Coturnix japonica: one gene and its partners. The protein of the gene in region 2 interacts with the protein of the main gene of each other region in a pairwise test. Links are inferred from orthologs where the notes say so. Each region holds a gene or a part of one and is shown on either strand. Other genes may lie near its edges.

Region 1 (7,013 bases), on a different chromosome or scaffold from region 2:
GCCGCAGCCTGCAAAGGTCACATGCACTACAGAGCTGCACACTGCACATGTCAGACAAACAAGGGACTTCCCATGTCACGATGAATTGTCAAAGCTCTTGTGATTCATACACTGCAGAGCTGACAACAGAAGGCAGTGTTATGCCAGTATTGTTGATATTTAAATAGCTTATTTTTGTTTCTTAAAGGACAAACAATACTTGCTTACAACTGCAATGACTGGGCTCACCATATCAACAGAATTCCCTTCTTAAAAGGAAGCTCACTTCTACTAAAAGTTAAAATGGTAACAGTAAATTATGGTAAGAATCAATGCTAAAAAAGCTCCATGCTTATTTCGGAGCAAGTGTGCATAAGATAAAGCCATGAACATCACACATACAAGAAAAGCAGAATCTGGACAGCTGGCAAACCACAAGATGAGATGAGGAAAAGGTCTGCTAGAAATCCATCAAGTGAGGTAAGAGAACAGACAGAGATATTCCTCAGGCATATACCCTCAAAGTTAAGGAAAAATACTGCCACACAGTTTTATTCTAGCAGGGAATTTATCAGGAAAAAGCACTTCACTTGAAAGCTACAGGAAAGTCCACAAGTTCTTGTCCACATCTTAACTCAAGAAGCATCTCTAGATAATACTAGATTTCTACTGGATGGAGGTGAACTGTTTAGCTGGGGATACTTTATAATCTGTCATAACACAAAAAGCACTGTGCCACAGTCATGAAAGAAAGCTTTTTCAGTTAAAGAATCCTGGTTAATCAATGTAACAGCAGCAGCAAATAAACCTTTAAAACAAATCCACAGTGCATAACAGATGGGGAAAAGGGACACAGATAACAACATGCAAATTACCATTGCATAAATGCAAGTGATGGAAGAAAAGCAATAAATAAATAAATAAATAAAATAGAGCTCTGGTAACCTGTACACAGCAGCAGAGGGCAGATATGTCAATAATTTCCCTGATGCAATGATTGCTGCTAACAACTGGAAAAGGTTTAAACTGGAAGTAGTTAAAGTTAAAAGACAACTGTAGCTATGATCAAACCATCAGACTCACATCAGTAGTTAACAGCATCAGGGAAAGCTTATCATGAGACACGATCAATAAAGCATTGAAAGACAGTAGCACAATCAACACAGCTGTATGGAAAATAGGCTTGGGCATGCAAATCTCTTTCTACACAGTTACATCAACATTTAATAATGGCAGTATAGTGTGCTAACATTACTGCCCCTAATTCCACACTACACATTAATTTAAAGTCATATTACATGAAAACCTGAACTAAAAGATTCACCATCCTTCAACACATCTCATAGTAAATGCATTTTAAGTGACTAACGGAATGGAGGGTCAGCTTCTCAGATAACTGATACTTTACTGGTCCTGCAGGACAGACAATGTACTACATTCAGAAGCTGAAGAGAGCTGCAAGCTGCTTCTGAGAGCAAGACTCATTCACTGCAACAATTTACCTGTGACATGGCAGATTCATTACTACTGATACCCTCTACAACAAGAATTTGATCTCTTTCCAGAAGATTTGCTGAACAAAGGAAATTTAAAAAAAAAAAAAAAAAAAAAGGATGATTCCTGGTATATATTCAGCATTTCCTCAACCCACACAGAGTAGGTAGAAAGAACAGATATTCACGCAGACCCCTCTGGCCTTACAATTTCTAAGTCTAGGGAACAATGACCCAGACATTATTAATCCCTCTGGAATTTAATGCAATAAGTGAAACATGTTTAATCCATCTGATACACTGTAGGATGGCTTCAGTATTTTTATGAGATTTCAATGGTAATCCAGTGTTAAATTACTGGATGACTTAAAATATTGTCAAATTGCTTCGTTGCCTTTCTGGTTATTGCTGAAAGCAGCAAAAACCTCCTCTTCTTTGAAGCAGAGGTAAATTATCAACCATTTGATCCACAACTTCCCAAGCAGAACACTTCAACCTACTCCTTTAAAATCTTTTTTTAATAACACTTTCAGAACAGCATTTTAATAGTGGGTCAGGATACCTCCTATCAGACACAGCTATGAGGGTTACACACTCCAAGTTCATACAAAGATCACTTGAGCAAGGTTATGCTTTTGTACAAACAGCATCCGCCCACTCAGAGCTCTAAGATCTGCATGAGAAAAGTGAAAAGCACATTACATCCTACAAACACACATTATTTGGTCCTGCCTCTTCAAAAGAGTTAGAAATGGGCCAGCAAATTATCCTTCCAGGTTTGCAGGAAGCATCAAATTATAGATAGTCCCCTACATTTCTTGCTCTATTTGACTTCTTCTGGCAGCATTTTCTTTATTTGCAGCCAACTGCTATAGCTACAGGGTTTGTCACAAGCAGTGTATTTCTAGCAATCATTACATCAAGCAAACTCATTTCAAGACTCCTAAGGAGGTTTTTGCCTATCCAATGGCCTTTAATTTCCATGAGCAACTCCTTACTATGCTGCATAGTAGAGTTGTTCCCATTCTTACTGCTGGGATCTTGGACATCTCCCAGTGCCAGCTGCTCTTACCAGACCTTTTTGATTCCAGGTCAGACCAGGTCCAGGTCTCTCCAAATTACAGCAAAATGCTCATGCAGAATCACCAAATCTTTACCAGCAAGGCTACTTTATCACTTGGGGAACAGGCTCAGACCTCCTAGAAATTAGCTGAGAGCCTGCTGTAAAACTGGGCACAGCATAAGATCATGAAAGATGGTTTTGTCCCATCATGACATGGTCACTGCAGAAAAAGTCCTCAGAGCTCAGCTTTTATTTGGTCAGAGTGAAGCTACCTCTGGCTGGGCCAAAGCCAGCACTGCATCTTGCCTGACTGAGGGTCAGCTGGAAGGGAGTCACAAGGCTTTGGGGCCATTTCCAGCATGTTACTGGGGGGCACTATAAATCATGGAGCCAATGTCCCCAGCCTAATGGCAAACACTGCCCCGCAACTTGGCAACATAGCTATCAACTTCTTTTCTCCCTGGTATAACATCACTGTTGACCTTCCAGAAACTTCAGCAAGCAACATTATTGTTCACAATGACTGACTGAGCACAACTTCATGCCACTACAACATGGTTTACAGGATCCATCTCCCAGGAAAAATACACCTTTCCCACTGTCCCAAACATGTGTCCAACTTCAACTATTGTATCTTTAAAAGATTTGATAGCCCAAAGAACACACACAAAGGAAGTAGCTATGTTTAGTTTAGATATGAAACTCAACTAGTATATACCATATATTTTCAATACTCACTATACCTATGAAACAATTCGAAACAACATTAGGAAAGCAAAGGTCTGTTTATGTTTTATAATTCCCCCAGTGCAAGAGCCTCATGGTTTGCTTTGAAGTCACCTTTATCTGCATTGTTTATGAAATCATCAGAGAGCATTTTTCTTTTTGTTGGACAGAATGTAATAAAAATCAAAGAAAACTTGCAAAGAGTTCAGTGGCAAACGTTTACGAACACATCAGACAAATAAAACCAACACAGAAGATAATCTTACCCAGAACGCTGGAAAAACAAATGTTACTTCCATTGGTGATAGTTTGCCTTAGAAAACAGTCCCAGGGTGGAAACCTTTAAAAAAAAGGAACAAAAGGCTCATCAGAATTAGTGTAGGTAACAAAGGCAAACACCGAATCTTTTGTAAACACTGCTGAAGATTAAACATCCTGCACTTTTGATTGTGCTCCTGCCTCAATTTCCTGCCATTAACTCACAGATAGGTTGGTCCCTGTTAAAAGCGACTGAAATCAAGCAACCAGGCAACACACCTACTCTGAAAAACGGGGAAGAGAACACAGAGCTTTGAAACAAACTCTGCATTTTCTGTTCCTCTTCCTCTGAAAGAGCCTTACTCAAACTCTGTGCTCCTATGTCAAATTTAGGTACCTAAGCTAAAGGGGGAAGCACAGATTAAGCCTAGTCAGGTTTTGATGTATTCACAGAGATTGCTGTTTTTAAGGGGTTCTGCATTATTTGACACACACTATGTGGCTATATGGCACTTCAACATACGCTACCATTTGATGATAAAAGGGTAATGCTTTGCTATCCATGGAAATTAAGCTGAGTATGTTCCTTATGATATCTCCCAGAAAAAGCAGGAAGGGAAAGAAAAGAAACAAAGGTGAGGAAGATCACCCAGAAGCCACACAGAAGGAGATTCTCTCAGAAGTCAAGAGAAAATTGCCAGAGTGGTAATTATGGTCTCAAAGATGACAGGCTGAGTCTGAGAAGTTAACAGACAGTCCTTAGCCCAGGATACACTTTCACAAGGGTTAAAAGGTGCCCAAAGTCAAGTTAAAAAGAATCAAAGATGAAACTAGAAGAGGAACTTCCAAGCAGCACAGATCAAACCGTAAGACAGAAAAGCTGGAAAAGCTTTTTTTTTCATAATACAAATACATAAAGTGATATGTATTTGTATTATGAGACAAAAGAGGCAGGAGAGACTATAGAGTGAAGAAAGACAAGTACAAGAAGAGGGATGTGACTGCAGAACAAGCAGAGTAACTAAAGAAGAAACTGATATGACAGGAAAAGAAGGAAAGAAAGAGGAAGGAGAGAACGGGGGGAAAAAGGAGAAGCCACTTGTCAGTTTTTTGTCCTTGAGGTAAAGATGAAGTGGAGAAAAGTTGGATGAAAACCTAGAAGATACTCAAAGATGAAGATACGGATGGGATATTAAGAACGATTTAATAAAATAGTAGTCTTTAAGTACTTGATTCACATGCAATTTCTAGTTACCATTCTTAATTTGTTTCAGTTCAGTGTGGTAGAATCCCTAATCCAAAGGAACCCAAAGCAAAGCTTGCACTAGTTATAGTGAAATTTATACTTCGGTAATGAATTCTAAACTATGTTCTATTTCCCTCCCACCCTCTTTACCCCAGCAAGGCAGGTTGCTTCTCTTCAAATAACTCAGTTAAGTTGCACATTCAGCCTCATTAGCTGCCATCCGCATCTCCCTGTAGTTTTAATTAGATAGGCATCTCTGTGCATAGTTACCTTGATTCTTCTCCCAAACAATCCCACAACATTGCCTACCATTCTTAACATGCTCTTAATTACAGCAGAGGCAGTCAGCACAGCCAGAACACAGCTCTCCTATGGAGAAGTCAGCAGACACACCCTCTGAACAAGTCTAGGGGTCACAGTGTAAGGAGGACATCAACCTATTAGAGAGCACCCAAAGGCTATGAGGACACAAAAGGGTTTAAGGGCTTGCTTTCTGCTTCAGCCCCTGTTCACAGTACATTAGCAGGAACAAAACCTGCAACCCCAGCAAGCATCTGGGGGAACCCCTCAGAGCAGAGGGCCACTGCTCCTGGCCTCCCCATGGGCTCAGCGCTGCTGTCAGCCATTCCTGGCTGCCCAGGGTCAGCACAGATCACAGCCGTGGGGATTTATGTAAGAGACATGTCACTCACAGCGCCTCTCAAATCCCAAAGACATCGCTGTTATGTAATGGGAACAATCAAGCCAGGCAGCTTTTCAGAGATTTGATACTCCAACTGCTGAGCAGCTAAAAATGAACGCTCTGCTCTTGTCAGGCACGGCGTTGTTTCCGCTCAAATCAGGTTAACCTTAACGCTACTGCAGCTCAGTGCCAATGACTCATCCCCCTCCTCGCCCAAGGCAGAGCTCCAGAAAGGTGAAACAGAGCAACATCTGCCCACCCTCAACCAGGTCCTCAGAGGGCAGAGCTCAGTAATTTGTGACCTGAACTTCAGGGCTTTCACTTCAACACCCATGCCTGGCTGGTTCTGACATTAAAGGATGACTCGCTTGGACAGAAGCAATGGGTCTGGACTTCATTGCACAGACTGGATGATGACTGTGAGCCTCTCAGGTTTTGATCAACAAAAATACAAGCACATCTGGCAGTCATCTTAAGTTATTACAGTAAATTCCAACAGTAATGCACACAAACTTGCATTATATAACCATGCATCTATATCATGCTATTTAAGAAAGCATTTTCATTAGCAAGATCCACTGTTTCTGCCCCATCTGTAAGCCACTCAGTGCTCTCCTGTATCACTATCAGGCATGGGTTGATGCAGCTTATTCAAAAAGTCCTAGCTGGTAATTTGATGAAGTTGCTGTTATTAAGATGTTGTGTCCCAGTTCACTGAAGGGAGCTGGACTCCATGGCCTGGAAGAGTCCCTTCCAGCTCACATGATTCCATGACTTTGGTTTATAAACTTCTCTTGAAGCTTTCAGATGATATTAAAGAGTTTCCCACCTCTTCAAATACTCAAATGCATTCTGAATATCTAAGATCTAAAAAAGGATAGAGAAGCACTCTTGTTTTACAGATATTTCATCTTCTGCACATTCTCCCAGCCTTTCAACTTGTCCCATCTTCAAAGAGAGGTGCTATTTCAGAGCCCACACTGCATACTTGTATCACTCTCAATAGCCGTAAACCCCAAGTAGCACATTCAGATTGTGACCATGATACAGCAACCCTGTCCAACCCACTGACTCCTGGATTCAGCTGTATTACCTGCCTATGTAGACAGAGGTTTGAACTCACCTGGGCTCAGAGTATTTCCAGAGGTTGTTTTGATAGTGTTCCTATTGTTAAAGCCTCCCTCTATCCCGTCACACCAACCTTTCATCATAATGGCAAGAGGAGAGCCTCAGATCCCAGTGAGCTGGTACACAAGAGCACATGCAATGAGAGCACAGCTCTACTGAGCACAATGAAGTGCAATTTATTCCTAATGTCTTCTATGAGCCCAGCATCCTGCCAGCTTTCCCTGTGCACAGCACATCATGACTCCTCCTAGCATTCTGGCATGAACAAATTACATCAGAATTGGAAATGTTTAATAGAAAGCCTTCTTTCCCCATCAATCTAATTCTCATTCAATAATAAGAATATACTCTGCAGCCACTCTGCCTATGAGTCACTCAGTCCCTCTAAATTTTACCAGTAGTATAAGCTTGAGAATTACTATGAGAATTGCCTTGGAG
Region 2 (7,088 bases):
GACAAAATCTGAACTGGTCTAGAAGTATGGATTTCATGACTGAAACTATGCATTGTTTTATCACACAACTAACCTCTATGTTTATGTTTTCTTTCTGGGATGCGGCCATTCAATAAAGACTGAGTATTCAGACATCATAGTAAAAGATGTGAAAATGAATAATATCTATTAGGAAGCTGAACTGTGTTCTTCTGCATGCTATTTATTTACATTAAAAGATTTCTTATAACCCAAGGCTGTGTTTTCTAATATTTTATACTTGTCTGTTGATTAGCAAAATACCTGGAAAAGGGCTTAGCCTAGTTTTCATTCTACAGTTTTAATCAAGTGAGAAGCAAGAATCATCATGCTTTTATTGCTTTCTGCCTTTCCTTGTGAATCCATTGCTGGGAGGAGAGAAGCCTGAAGGTATTTGTTCTAACTCATGCTTCCTTAGCTGCTCACTTTCACTCCTAGACCTTTCTCTCCATCGGGATGACGCAACTGCTTTTCAATGAGAATTATTTGAACTGGATTACAGTGTGTGTGTGTGTGTGTGTGTGTGAGAGAGAGACCACCTTAAGAAAAAACAAACCAAAGAAACCTTTAAAACATATCTAGCTACATCCTGAGATTTGTTCCTCAGTGCTGAATGGAGAACTTTAATCATCAGTGGGAAAATGAAAGTAATCTTAATCGGTTATTTGTAATGTCCCTGAAGAAGAGAGTCAGTGGGATCTGATTGCAGCTCTTTTTATACTATACCTCTCCCCAGCCTCTAGGTAAACTTCCAGTTGTTGGCTTTGTCTTGTATTTTTAACACGTAATCTCAATGTAATAGCCAATTTTTGTGGGGAAGAACGCGTAGCCTAGCAAGGAACAACTTTGATAGCAATTTCAAAAGCAGCTTGATTACATTTGGCAAACTAAACAAAGATAATGACAGTTGCAATTGCAGTTGAAGCATAGATAGTATTTCAGTTTCATTTCAACAGCAGCGTGTGGTTGCTACAATGGTAATTTTAACCAAACTGGAAAGGGAAAAAAAGAATCCTTCAAAAACTGCAGTGAGTCACTACTTTCTCCAGCATCTCACAATACAGAAAAACTAGCCTTTTCAGTTACATTCCTGGATATTAATTAGCTTTTCTTTTGCCTTTAACTTATAGGAACTTGAAAAAGCAACAAACAGGAATGGATTAGTCACAGATACAGAAAAATAAAGATCTGCTTGTTCAGTTCCAGGTAAATCATACTGAGATTAACCACTTTTGTTTGTTTTATTTTCAGTCTTGAATCTTTCTTAGTCCGAACTGGCTGAAGTGTTCTTAAATAACCATTAGTGGTGTGGGAGTGACACACAACAGCCCATAGCCACAGAGCAGGTGGATGTGGTCTGTTCAAATAGTACCTCTAGCCTTAAAGAGGTAGACGAATTTAATACAATTTATTCTTATAACTTATTAAGAACACTTATTTTTGCTTTTCAAATACATGGTTAAAATTGCTTGCTGGCACTTTGTGAGGAGTTTCTCCTCTGTGTTTTGGGGAAGAGTAAAACAATGGAAGCCCTGTTCTTCCTTGAAAGTTTTCAAAAGCTTTAGTAAAGATGACAAGCTTTGCAGGAAGCCCTGAAGATCAAATAATCTGTCCTGAATTTGGAATTTCTTCTTACATAAACAATTGGTTTTGGCTCGGATTTTTTTATCTCACTTTTAAACTTTAAGGGCTTCAAGCATTTGAGTGGAATTTTTTTAAGAAACTGATTGTACTTAATTAGTTGCTATCTCAGTTTGTTTAAAACAGGCCATTTTTCATCATGCAGCTTTCACTCATAATAAAATCAAAACAATCTTTTAAGGTGTACTGAGCATTCTCATGGGATCTAGGAGTACTTGTCCAGCTCAGAAAAGGCTGAAACAAGTATTCCACATGCATTAGCAAAGAGGAAATGAGTAGCACTACTGTGCTATTTTTATAGCACATATTTTCTGGATATTAGGAAGTATTACTTCTTAGAAAGGGTGGTCAGGCACTGGAATGGACTGCCCAGGGAGGTGGTGGAGTCACTGACCCTGGGGGTGTTCAAGGAAAGACTGGATGTTGTGTTGAGGGACATGGTTTAGTGGGAGCCATTAGTAATAGGTGAACGGTTGGATTGGATGATCTTTTAGGTTTTTTCCAACCTTGGTGATTCTATGATTCTATAGGAAGACACACTGAAGAGATAGTAATAAATATGACTGTAGGTCTGATATTTTTTCTTTTTAAAATAACAAAAGCTGCTATTGTTAATGGAAATTAACTTCTTACTTAGAACAGCTATTTAATTGTAAAACGTACTGTCATTCTTGATTTCAACATAGTCCATTAGATATCCTGTGTGCTGAGTCTACCATCTGCTTTTCCTGCAGGGTATGTGGAGAAGGAAAACCAATCAACAGATCATGCGGCCATCCAAATAAAATGAACAGTACCTGAATCAGCTGCACGAGGACAGCACAAAACCAAGAAGATATTCACTTTGGAAGAGCAACCTCTAAAAAGCACTCCGAAATTTTGTGACTGCTTTGTCTTTTTCTTTCACTCTGATCAATGTAGGCAAATAATTACAGTAACTGAATTTGAAACATCATTAGAGTGTCTGAGAGTTAAGGTAGCCAAGAAAGATGTGGTTTTTATCATAGCAACAATGCAACAGCCTTTGAATGTCACCTACTGCAGCCATAAAAAGAAGAGTATTGCCTTGAAACCTGACCCTTTACCTTTGCCCTCGTGTCATTTTCACTTGTTTGTTTTGCGTTGTGCTACTTGCCTGTAGGCGAGTGTGTGGAAGGTTGACTTAGACTTTACTCAGTGTCTGATGTCAGAATGTATACAGGCTGCTGCTATAGCCCTATTGAACTACTCTGTGGGTACCGCTGCAGTGTTGGCATTGAGAGAAGGCAGATGGCATTCGCAATTGTAAAGCAGTGCTATATGAGGGTTATTCTTTGTGCCATCTGTTTTGCTCTATAGCACAGTTTCATATATACTTGAAGATTCCATCTCAATGCTGAGATATCTGCTGCCAAAATACACCTTAGAGATCATCGAGTCCAACCCCCGGGATTCGAGCCCCTGTGTAGCAGAGCGGCACTTCTACCACTTGCGCCACAGGGGGATTCGAACCCACGGTCTCCGGTGTTGCAACGCGCCATTCCTACCACTGCGCCACCGGGGCCCACCCGTAGCCCCGCCCCGGAGCAGCAGCCTAGATCCCATTGGCCCCGCCCTGCTCTTATTTGCGGCCGTGCGCTGTTGTGTCACGTGCTGCCGGCGCACGTGTGCCGTTATGTAACGCACGGCCCGACGGGGCGGGGCCTGAGAGCCGCGCAGGCGCCTCGTGCCGCCGGCGGCCGCGCATGCGGGGCGGCCTCGTGCGCAAGCGCTGGGGATGAGGGGCGGGGCCGAGCGGCGCTGGTTGCAGTCCTCCCGCGCCCCTCCTCCGGTCAGACGGCGGAGGTCTCGAGCGACAATGAAGCAGGAACCGCAACAGCAGCAGCCGTCGGCCCAGCAGCCGCCCTCCGCCGGCGCCGGGGTGCCGGCCTTCCTCAGCAAGCTGTGGGCGCTGGTGGGCGAGGCGCCCAGCAACCAGCTCATCACCTGGAGCCAGGTGCGGCGGCGCGAGTCCCGGCCGTTGCTCGCCCCGCCCCGGCCGCGTGCCCCGGTGTGGGACGGCGGCGGTGGGGCCCGGTTGGGGTTACGGGGCCTTAGGGGGCCTCGGTCGGGGCGGCGCGGGGCGGGAAATCCGGGCGCGGCCGGGCGGGCCATCGGCGGGGGGAGCGACCTCGGCGCGGTTATCCGGGCACCGCGTGCGGATGGAAGTGACGAGCGCGGGTGGCAGCCCGGGGCCTGGCCCTGCCGCCGGCTGCGGAACGTACCGGGGCGCGGCTGGGACGGGGAGCCGCCGCGGGGCACGGGCTGGGGCAGGGGATCGGGCGGCGTGCGCTGACAACGGAGCGGTACTTTGCGCTGCGGCTCGTCCGTAGTGCGCGGGGTTGTGTAACGGCTGCGAATTGCACGTATAAGATGGGTGGGAGAACGGCGTTTTTACGTCTCCCCCCGCGGCCGCCCCGCTCCCCGAGCGGCCACGTGGGGTAGCAGTTCCTGCGTCGGCCGCGGCCACCTGCACGCGGTGTAACTGCGGGGCTGCCCCCAGCCCGGCCCGCGGCGGCCTTTGTTGTGGTGGCCCGGATGTGTTGGGCACCTTGAATGGACGGAGCCGGGCGGGCATTGCCTCTATGGAAAGTCCCTGAGTGCCCGGCGGGTGCCAGCGCGGGACGGGAGTTGGGCTGCTGCTGCTGATGTCGTGGAACCCGTAGTTATCGTTCCGATGTGTGTTAGCGTTGGGTCGATCCTTACAATCTAATACAAGTAAAACCTGAGAGGGATGTCCTTTCCTTCTGAATCCCTTGTGCTAAAATGCAAGCTGCGGTGGTAGATAATAAAAAACGCATTATCAGCTTGCGGAGTTTAGGAGTATATTTATGTACTTCAAGGCAGGGAGTAACTGCCTGCTTGCATGCAGTGAAGAGGCTGGCACATGTAGTGCGCTGGACATCATTAACTTGTGATAAACACTGCACAGTCTTAATGGAGGCACAGGTAGCAGGAATAATGAATAAAGTATATAGGAAAGTGTCCCACGCTGCTGTCAGTAACAACAGGACTTGAGAACCCTGTTCAGGTACACAGTGATGCTTCACTGGGTTAAAGCTGGGCATTAGCACGTTTACAGCATCGATGTAAGCAAGCATCGGGGCAACAAGGACCAATGGCAGTAGGTTAGAAATTTTTCAAGGTGATAATGAAGTTTGGTGCTGCACAAAAGCTGTTTGCTGGCATTACAGGTTGCTGTAGCACCACTTAAAACCTTAAACTGGTGAGTCAGGTTAACTTAAAATGATCTCTCACCTTTTCTTTTACTTCCCGTTTTCTTTACGCTGCCTATTTCTCAGCAGGAGATAGACATGCATTACTGGGAAGTTGGGAAGTTTATCGTTTGTCAAAAGTGAGTTCCCACATGAGCAGTCTTCATGTGGTCTCATAGTTGGCTCTTGAGGCTTTACTGGGGAGCGTGTGGCTGGTGGCATCTGTGGGTAGGAAGCAAGTGTGGCTCCTCGAACTGAAGGGCTTCCGAGAAGATGGAGAGTAAGGGTTGGCATTTGTCAAAGCTGATAGGTGAGGTGAGGTTGTTGCGAGTAGATTACAGATAAAACCTCTGGCAGTTTGAAGCCTCTAATTCTGATTCTGCCAATTCTTGCCCTTTAGTTAATGGAGCAAGATTATTGAAGAACAAAGAACGGAGGCTTCTGTTTGTCTCAGTCTGTGGATGTAATTCGAGGATCAGTTTATTGGGTAAAAGATCGATCCTCAGAGTTGGCACGCAGGAGGAAGGAATTACTGTCTTGAGTGCTTTATGGTCATTTTGAAATCTTGTGGACAAGCTGAGGTCTTTGACAGCTCCATCTTGTCTGTGAGCCTTAACAAACTAGTCATACTTCAGCGCTGGATAGCAAAAAGGTTTTCAGCTGTGATTTGCAGGGTTGTTTTGATTTTGACCTTGTACGGTTTCTTTGCTGTATTTGTATTCCCTCTCAAGATTTTGAAGCTCGTAGGTTACAAAATTGATGGTGTTGTGCTGTAGTGAAACCGGTGCTTGTTGCTAAACTTGTCCTTAATTAATTTCTTGAGGAAGTGTGGAGAGAAGCAGTGGAAATGTTCTCCTTTAGATATGGATGGCAATGCAAATTGATAGTTCTCTGTTGCTTTGCAACTGGCAGTTATAAGCTTTTGTTGTGGAAAACTGCAGGCAAGCAGATCAGTTACGTCCTGCATGCACAAAGGAAACATTCCTATGCGGTGATTAATTCTGCAAGCCCAGAGTGTGTTCTACAATAGTCTTAAGTAGCTTTATGTCTCTCGTTTTAGAATGGCCAGAGTTTCTTGGTGTTGGATGAACAGAGATTTGCAAAAGAGATTCTGCCAAAGTACTTCAAGCACAACAACATGGCCAGCTTTGTCCGACAGCTAAACATGTGTAAGTTCTCATCTTTTGTTTCTGTCACAGTTAAAGATCCTGGATGTGTTTAGTTATGTGTTATTTTCTTCTGAACGGTTGCACTGTGTTCGTCGCGTTTAGAGTATTGTCTTGTCCTGAAAACTGATAGAAGGATGGTTGGAACAGTATATTGTTATATATGTAGTTTGAATTCTTTAGTGTGAGTTTTGAGAGATGAGTTTTTTCTCCTTTTTTTCCCCCTCTATTTAAAGATGGCTTCCGTAAAGTTGTTCATGTTGATTCTGGGATTGTCAAACTGGAGCGAGATGGTCTAGTTGAGTTTCAGCACCCCTATTTTAAGCAGGGTCGAGAGGACTTGTTGGAACACATTAAAAGGAAGGTTAGTGAAAACTCGGTATATAAACTGTAATTGTAAATGAATAGCAAAGTTCATGGCAAGTTTTAATTGTGGGTTTGTAAGTTCATGTGGAATTTTCATGTATGTTCTGATTTATTTATTTTGGGGGCTTTGACTAAGCTGCTCTAGATAATTTTTGCTCATTATAGTAAGTTTCACAGGCAGCAAAAATAAGTCATGCAAATAGAAGATCTAACAGGTATATGTGAAGAGGGCAGAACACACTTTAACTTTACCATCACTAATGTAATTATTTTTTATGTAGCTTGATTCAGAACATAGCTACTGCAAGAAGTAACCTTCTTGCCCAGGAGAGCTGGAAGCAAACATGTAAACGTGTTTGTTGTGCTGCTATTACATTTCTAAAATTTGCTTTGCTGTTACTGAGAATCAGGTGCATAAGAGTAGATATCAAACAGAAATGCAGTAACTATGGTGAGAGAGATGTGCTTGTTAGCACTGGGTTCATTTGAAGCAGTTAAGATGTAGAGTGCTGAGTACTATGTCTGGAGAATCTGAAGGTAAACAAATGCTTGTAATAAGAATGATACAGCATCTGTTGTAAGAAGTCTCTCCGTTTCTGTATTTACGTATTTGATGCATGGTTTATTAGTGACTTTAACTCAGTTATCAGCACCATCATCAACA
Region 3 (7,091 bases), on a different chromosome or scaffold from region 2:
GGCTCGAGAAAAAGGCCAGTGTGCATGCGGGTACTTCACTACCAGCCTGCACCGCACCCACATTTCCAGCTTGACCTGATGTCACCTCAGTAATTCCACCCCCAGACAACTGCACAGGACTGTATAAACAAGGAGATACAAATACAGCCTTCTGCAGCAAAGGAACCACGAATGGAAATGACTAGATGAGGAAAAAGAAGGGAGAATAAATTCATTACAAGAAAAGACTCATACGCAGTGAGTCCTTATACTTACCAGTTTATGGCCAGATATCGTTTTTTCAAACTTGCCATCATATGCTCCCCAAATTTTAATAAGTTTGTCAGCAGCTGGAAAAGAATGTGCCAGTTTAAGAGACATGCAGCACTGACAGACACAGCTGGAGGACAGGGATATGTTAACCATGCCCCTACTAAAGGTGGGTAGTCCTCCCTCTCTATGCACACACAAGCGTATAAGGCTGTATGTAACTGGTAAAGAATGGTTTCATACACACCACACTCACTGCTGCAACTGAGATTACATAAGCTGCCTGGAATGCAGTCTCCAGTCGCTTTAGTTTCTCTGATGACAACTTGAGCTTCTACTTTTGTTTAAGCCTGCCAGTGGTAGACGCAGTACTGTTCCATGTGGAATGCTGAAACTCTTTTGCCCAGAAAGAGCAAAAATTACATCACTACCTGGAATGAATTAATGCCTGCATAAACCCAAACATGCTGTCCATTTTAACTTGCAAAACGGGCCAGAGAAAGAGGTTGATATTTGCCAGAGGCTGGAAAACCTTAGGATGGGGGAAAAGGTCTTTCATAAGGATAACAGAACATAAAAGTGATTTACACATGGTATACTGGCCTTATAAAGGCAATGTGAAGTTAAGCCAAAGACCGAAGTAATTCCCATGTCTGGAAGATGTTTGACTGGCTCCCACCATCACATTCAATATTGTTCTTTAATTGCTCTTTCTTCATATACAGTACCTCACTGAGGTTAGTATAAGGACATTTACTAAGGAAAGCTACCAAGCAGTTTTCTTGGTGACAAACACCAAAGCTGTCAGGGGAGAACTCAACCTGCCAACTAAGAGGGAGCAGCGAAACACTATGATCTGCATATTTCATTGGGATAATCTAAGGCTCTGACTTGCTAAGAACCACAGGCACAGAGAACAGAAGCACACAGGCAGTCCTTCACATCACAATGCAATCCAGCCCAGCAGTGCCAAGTTAACTCTGACATTTCCCAGAGCTGAGTTTTACCTGCAGGTACCGCACCCAGAATTTAAAAGCTTAAGCTTCATCTTTAGTGCCACAGAAAAGCACAAGGATGGGGCAAGAATCCCGTTTGCTTTTGTCCCCTTGCACAGTAAGAAAACTAAACAGGAAAGGACTCTGAGTTAGCAAAACACTGAAAGATCTTGGATTATCCCAAAGTCTGCCAGTTTGGGCATTGTTCCTTTTAAGAACAGTAAGGACACTTATCCCTTCTCCATCCAGTCAGTTAAGACAAGTAGTTCTACAAGGCCCGTATTTGCATTCTGTTGATGTAAGAAAGCAATACTTACAGGAGCTGGCTAACCACTCTCCATTAGGACTAAACTTTACAGATGATACCGCCTTCGTATGTCCCGCTAACGTGAACTTTAGAGCATAATTTGGTTTCACTGGTGCAGGCTGGAAGAAAAATACATATGAATGAGTTGAATAAATTCCCAATTTAGTTTCTCAGTGACAAGCTCAGTATCAGACGAGATCAGCACACATGAATACATACATTCACCTGAACAGATTCTACCATTTACATTCTCTCCCCCCACCAAATTCAACAAGCCCCCACTGGAGCCAGAAGCACATTACAGCCACGTGCCACCAAACTCATCCTGATCTGAATTCCCTTCAAGCCTGCAACTAACAGATGACAGTAACACAACAGTTCGAGCACAGAGTGTTTTGAGATTAAAATAAAACCTCTGGTGATGGTTTTATACTCTGTGTATAGTACTATGAAATGCCTGTAGTTCTATTCCTTGCTCAGAAGCAACCACAAGCCAACTCCCCCAGGCCCCTTAAAACTCTATTTCAACCAAATAATCAACCTAGCACTAAGCTGTACTCAGCCTGCTTTTCCCCTACAACCTTCAGCACACTTCCCTCTCCATACAACAGCAGAGGCAGACGTATTAAGAAGTTCTTAATGCATACTTGATTCAGTTCTCTAATTGCTGTTTGCCTGGTGCACGTGCAGGTATGCACCATGTGCATTTACGCAGGCATTGTTCAGAGCTCCCCACACACACCTTGCTCTGATTGGTTGAGGAGGAAGGAGTCGATTGTGTTTTGGTGGATTCTGCATCTGGTTTCTTTTCTTCTGTTGCCATGGTTCTGAAGCCGGCAAATGAGACCTACGGTGCTTGAAGGGGGAGAATGAACGTGCTGCTTCACAAGGCAGCCCTTGCCACGGGGAGAGGAACAGCGCTGCTAGAAACAAAACCCTGGAAGAAAAAGCAAACAATCACATTAACCATCAAAGAAGGATCAGAGGCAGCTAAAGGAACAAGATCAGCTTAACTGCAGGTCTGCAGAAAACATGATGAGGAAACATATTGTACGCCTGCTCAGCAACATGCCATTTTATGCCTACAGGTCTATTAGTGGTCTATCAAGAACCCAAATACAAGACTTTGATCAGCTCCTGCACAGCGTTTTTTGCTGTGTTTTGTACCAATCACTACAAATAAAGCAGAGTAGCTCTTAGAGGCAGTGGGTTTATCTTATATTCCTTGAAACATCTGTACAACACAGCAAATACAACACCTTATATATAAGGCATTTCCAAAGCTTAAAACCACACCAGGTTTGTTTTATTTTTCCATTTCCTATTTCAAGTACTTTGGTCTAATACCTTCCCCCTAAATGCTGTGAGCACCATATCCCTGCTTGAGAGATCCCCCTGCCTAACAGCAGCCCTGCATTAACCTCACCAGATCTGCTTTCTGTAGCAAAACCTGAGCAGTGCTGTGCTGTACCCTGCAATCAGGGCTGATGCTGCAGAGGGAACAATCACGCTGCAGTTCAGCTTCATTTCAGCAGTGTAACAGAATAACCCGCAGCTCACATTGTAAGGATTTACAAATCCTTTGCTATTTGCAATATCCCATCCCAAGCACAATCCATTTTGCTTGTGGCAGCAAATCCAAGAGGAACAGCATTGACTTTTCAAGCCACGATGCACATCTTGTCCTCAGGAGGGCACAGAGCTCAGTGCCACCAGTTGCAAGCTTTACAAGCACAGTACAGACTCCTTACTTACTGTTAATACCAGCAACTCCAGCTCTATAATCCAGATCTAATGCATTTCAACCTGAACTTATATGGGAACTTGAGCAAGCAACACAGCTTACCCCTTGCACCTCCTCATACAAACCTGAGCAGCAGCACATGGCAAGCTTCAAAGGGCCCTGGCTGCAAACACCCCTTTCTCACCACACCCAGGGGGGAAGCTCGTGTAAACTCAGCTTGTAAGCAAGAAACTTCCCGAAGGCTTTAGAAGCAGCAGCAGCCTGCAGGAATACACAGCCTGCAAGGATACACAGCCTGCAAGGATACACAGCCACGTGTGTGCACGTACATAGGGCGTGCACACATCCACAGGGCTGCACGCTCTACAGCGAGGCGTGGAGCAGCACAGAGCAATGGAGCTGCAGAGCAAAGCAATGGAGCTGCAGGGCAAAGCAATGGAGCTGCAGGGCAAAGCAATGGAGCTGCAGGGCAAAGCAATGGAGCTGCAGGGCAAAGCAATGGAGCTGCAGGGCAAAGCAACGGAGCTGCAGGGCAAAGCAAGGGAGCTGCAGGGCAAAGCAATGGAGCTGCAGGGCAAAGCAACGGAGCTGCAGGGCAANCTGCAGGGCAAAGCAACGGAGCTGCAGGGCAAAGCAAGGGAGCTGCAGGGCAAAGCAATGGAGCTGCAGGGCAAAGCAACGGAGCTGCAGAGCAATGCAATGCACACACAGAGCAATGCAATGCACATACAGAGCAATGCAAGGCCGCACGCGGCCCCCTCTCGCCTCAGAGTGAGGGCGGTGGGGGAGGGAGGAGAGGCGGCTCCCCACACGAAGCCGGAGCTGAAGGAACCCATCCAGCCGGGCTCCATAGTGACTTACCGAGGGAAGGGGAAGGGCTGGGTGCACACCCGGCACCGCCGCCTCCTCCTCCTGCCTCGGGAGGGGCGGAGGGGGGACACGGCGGCGGCGGCAGCACCGGAGCCGCCAGGCGGGGAATGTGGCACTGCGCATGCGCGATGTAGGCCAAAGGCTGCACAATGCCGCTCTCTCCCATGAGCGCTACGGTGCGGCCAGAGGGACAAAAAGCATCAGTGGGGGCCGTGCGCCTTAAAGGGCCACGCGCTTCTTTTTTCAGCCTGCTTCCCGCCTTTGGAAATGGCTCTGTGCTGAAGGCCTCCATCCCTCAGGTGTGTGCTCGCTGCCCTGAGGAATGAAGGAACGAAAGCACTGAAAATTCATGCTTAACCCACAATATTGTGAGGAGACTGAGCTAATCCGTAAGGTAAACAGCACAGCAGGCCACGTAATGCTGTTATACCGAGGGTAGGTGTGCGGCCTAGCCCTGCCTAGGGATATATTTAGCTTCCATTTAGCTTGCATGCAGATTCTCCTCAAATTTCAGTGTTTTTCTGGAAAACAGTGGGTTTTTTTCCGAACTGCTTTCAGTGAGAGGGAAGAAAACCAAGAGACACGTGTTATGTGCTGGCCCTGTAACACAGGAAGATCTGCGGGCTCCAGAAATGCTGGTGGCTGCTGAGAAAGGAAAAAAGTGATGGTGTAATGAAGCCAAGGCCCTTCTCCAGCTTGGAAACCCATAGCTGAAGTCTGCAGCTTTAACCCTGCCCTTTACCATGGGGGGAAAATACAGGCATGGAACTGTGAGAGATGCTCCATCCATCCTATGCTGTTAGGGAATAAATCCAGTTCTTGCCTTGGTGTATAGTCTTCATTCTGGAAAGAAAAGAAGACTAAATACCACAAATCAGCAGGGTAATGCTATACATTCATGCAGCTTTCTTGTGATAAGGGTAGGTGTTGCTTTCACATAGGAGACAAGAGCCTGTATTTCTGTACTGTGCCTCCTCTCGTTGTGGAAGCTTTTTTTGCCTGATATTTCATATATATTAATCTATATCTATACTGAATGATACCTTTCTGGAACTGGAAACTATAGTTTCCAATACAAATGGTAATTGTAATCCTAAGCAACCCCTTAGCCTCTGAGTGTCCTGGATTTATCTTTAACAAATGTCATAAATAGAGAATCTGCACGGACAGCCTGTTGTCTTTGGATGAAATTGAACTTGTGGGTTATGAGTCATCTGTGAGGGTCCTTCTTGCTCCGCAGGCCATGCTGCCACAGCTGGGATCAGCAGGATGTGATCTCTGTCCAAATTCCCTCTCTGTGAAAGACTGGGCCTTGGCAGGCTTCTCTCTCACAAAGTCTTTCATTCCTTTTGGTTCCAAATAGCCTGAACTTGGTGATCTGCCAAGTACATTGGAAAAGACACCTGTCTGTGAGGCTTCTGGGGGGCGAGAAAAGCTTCCCGTAATGCTGAAAAGGAAAGAAAAGTCCATAAGTGTCTCAGATGATTGGGAAGTGACTGCTTTCAGTGCTGGTGTGAGCCCTCTGGATGTCTTTAAGAATGCCAGGAACAGACCCAAGGCCGCGGATTCTGCTGTTGACTAACGTATACAATTCTGTCACAGGTTCCACTGAGACGAAAACTGATCCAACCCTGCACATTTGATCCAAGGGACGTTAATGTTTGCAGAAAAGCTCCTACTAACTTCAGCACATGTTGGATCTGCTCTTTAGGCCACTGCAAACAAGCAAATGCTTACTTTTGCAATGGTGAGTAATAAGACGGTAAGTTTACAAGCTATATAAGCCCATGTTTTGGCACAATTAGCAACTTCTGTTAGGACATTATATTTACTTGAGCCTCTTGGCAAATGGAACACAGAACAGGCATGCTGTATGTTACACACTGTTCAAGAAACAGAGGGAGCAAGAACTTGTGAGAGATCTGCTGCTTCTTTTAGACTTTTAAAGAGCAGCTGATCCTTGACATATAGCTGTTCCTGTGCTGTTGCTAATAGGCTGAAATCAAAGATGCATCACATTCATATGTTTCTTCAGGGATTTAAACTCAAACACTGAACCTTTTCCAAACTGATATTTCTAGCTCCCCCACTACAATATGAACCTTACTTGCATGACTGCCAACGTTTGTTCATTTAAAACTAGGAATAGTTTTCCCAGCAGAAGGCAGCTAGATTCAATTCATTCTGCCCTGGGTGGGATGTGCACCAACACTTAGCCTGGACACAAAGGCCCAATGAATGTTGAAGAACTTATTTTAAGGTTAGATTATTGAACACTGAATTTATAGAACTTCATGTTAGGAAAGACCTATGGAGTAGCAGTCTATGTTTTTGTGGGAGAAGTTGGGACTTTGTGCAAGATTTGAGTCCAGCAATGTGCTATAACGTCTCATCCAATGCAGATGCAACCCCAGTGCAAGTCACAGCCAAGTTAATATGTGAAGGCTGCAGATTTGAGGGCCCCAAACTGAATCACACATGGTCTGACTGCCAGACGTGATGACAGCCTGCTTCTCCCAGCCTCTTCAACTGGAGCAGCAGGTTCTCAGCATTTCTGTGAATCAGGAACTTTGTTCTCAGCTGCTGCAAATGGTTGCTGGTGCAACTACAACTACTGGTTGTTTTTATGCAGTTAGCTCACATCCCTATTTTAGTATATATCCAGTTTTAGTAAAATTTCTCTTTATTATTTGTTGTCATTTAGAAATGCAGATATTTGAATGCGTTACTGTTGGGTTAGAGCTTCTCTTTAGCATTTTTCCAGCCTGCTGAGGAAAGAATGAAAACTAAGAAAATACACAGAAATACATGAAGGCTTTAGGCAGCTGAAGTCTAGTGCATTGTGGTATCTAATAGTTTAAACTGCCTAGCAAATACTGTTCATAAGCTTGCTTTCCTATGCAAACCACTGTGTTAACAGCAGGTG

Evidence for each region.
Region 1: the proteins of HSF2 (region 2) and MTUS2 interact in binary tests that used the Homo sapiens proteins (3 or more experiments, as listed by UniProt). The two-hybrid records come from large-scale screens. The link is inferred for Coturnix japonica from reciprocal best matches to the Homo sapiens genes HSF2 and MTUS2.
Region 3: the proteins of HSF2 (region 2) and WDR5 interact in binary tests that used the Homo sapiens proteins (3 or more experiments, as listed by UniProt). The two-hybrid records come from large-scale screens. The link is inferred for Coturnix japonica from reciprocal best matches to the Homo sapiens genes HSF2 and WDR5.

What each region holds. Positions count from the first base shown.
Region 1 is NC_029516.1:157,160,067-157,167,079, forward strand, and holds the start of MTUS2 (microtubule-associated tumor suppressor candidate 2), read right to left. Parts: upstream 3,646-7,013; 5' UTR 3,528-3,645; intron 1-3,527. UniProt on the Homo sapiens protein: Binds microtubules. Together with MAPRE1 may target the microtubule depolymerase KIF2C to the plus-end of microtubules. May regulate the dynamics of microtubules at their growing distal tip.
Region 2 is NC_029518.1:55,735,429-55,742,516, reverse strand, and holds the start of HSF2 (heat shock factor protein 2), read left to right. Parts: upstream 1-3,369; 5' UTR 3,370-3,415; coding exon 3,416-3,634; intron 3,635-5,952; coding exon 5,953-6,061; intron 6,062-6,294; coding exon 6,295-6,422; intron 6,423-7,088. UniProt on the Homo sapiens protein: DNA-binding protein that specifically binds heat shock promoter elements (HSE) and activates transcription. In higher eukaryotes, HSF is unable to bind to the HSE unless the cells are heat shocked.
Region 3 is NC_029532.1:5,716,403-5,723,493, reverse strand, and holds the start of WDR5 (WD repeat-containing protein 5), read right to left. Parts: upstream 4,281-7,091; 5' UTR 4,157-4,280; intron 2,489-4,156; 5' UTR 2,375-2,488; coding exon 2,294-2,374; intron 1,671-2,293; coding exon 1,562-1,670; intron 330-1,561; coding exon 256-329; intron 1-255.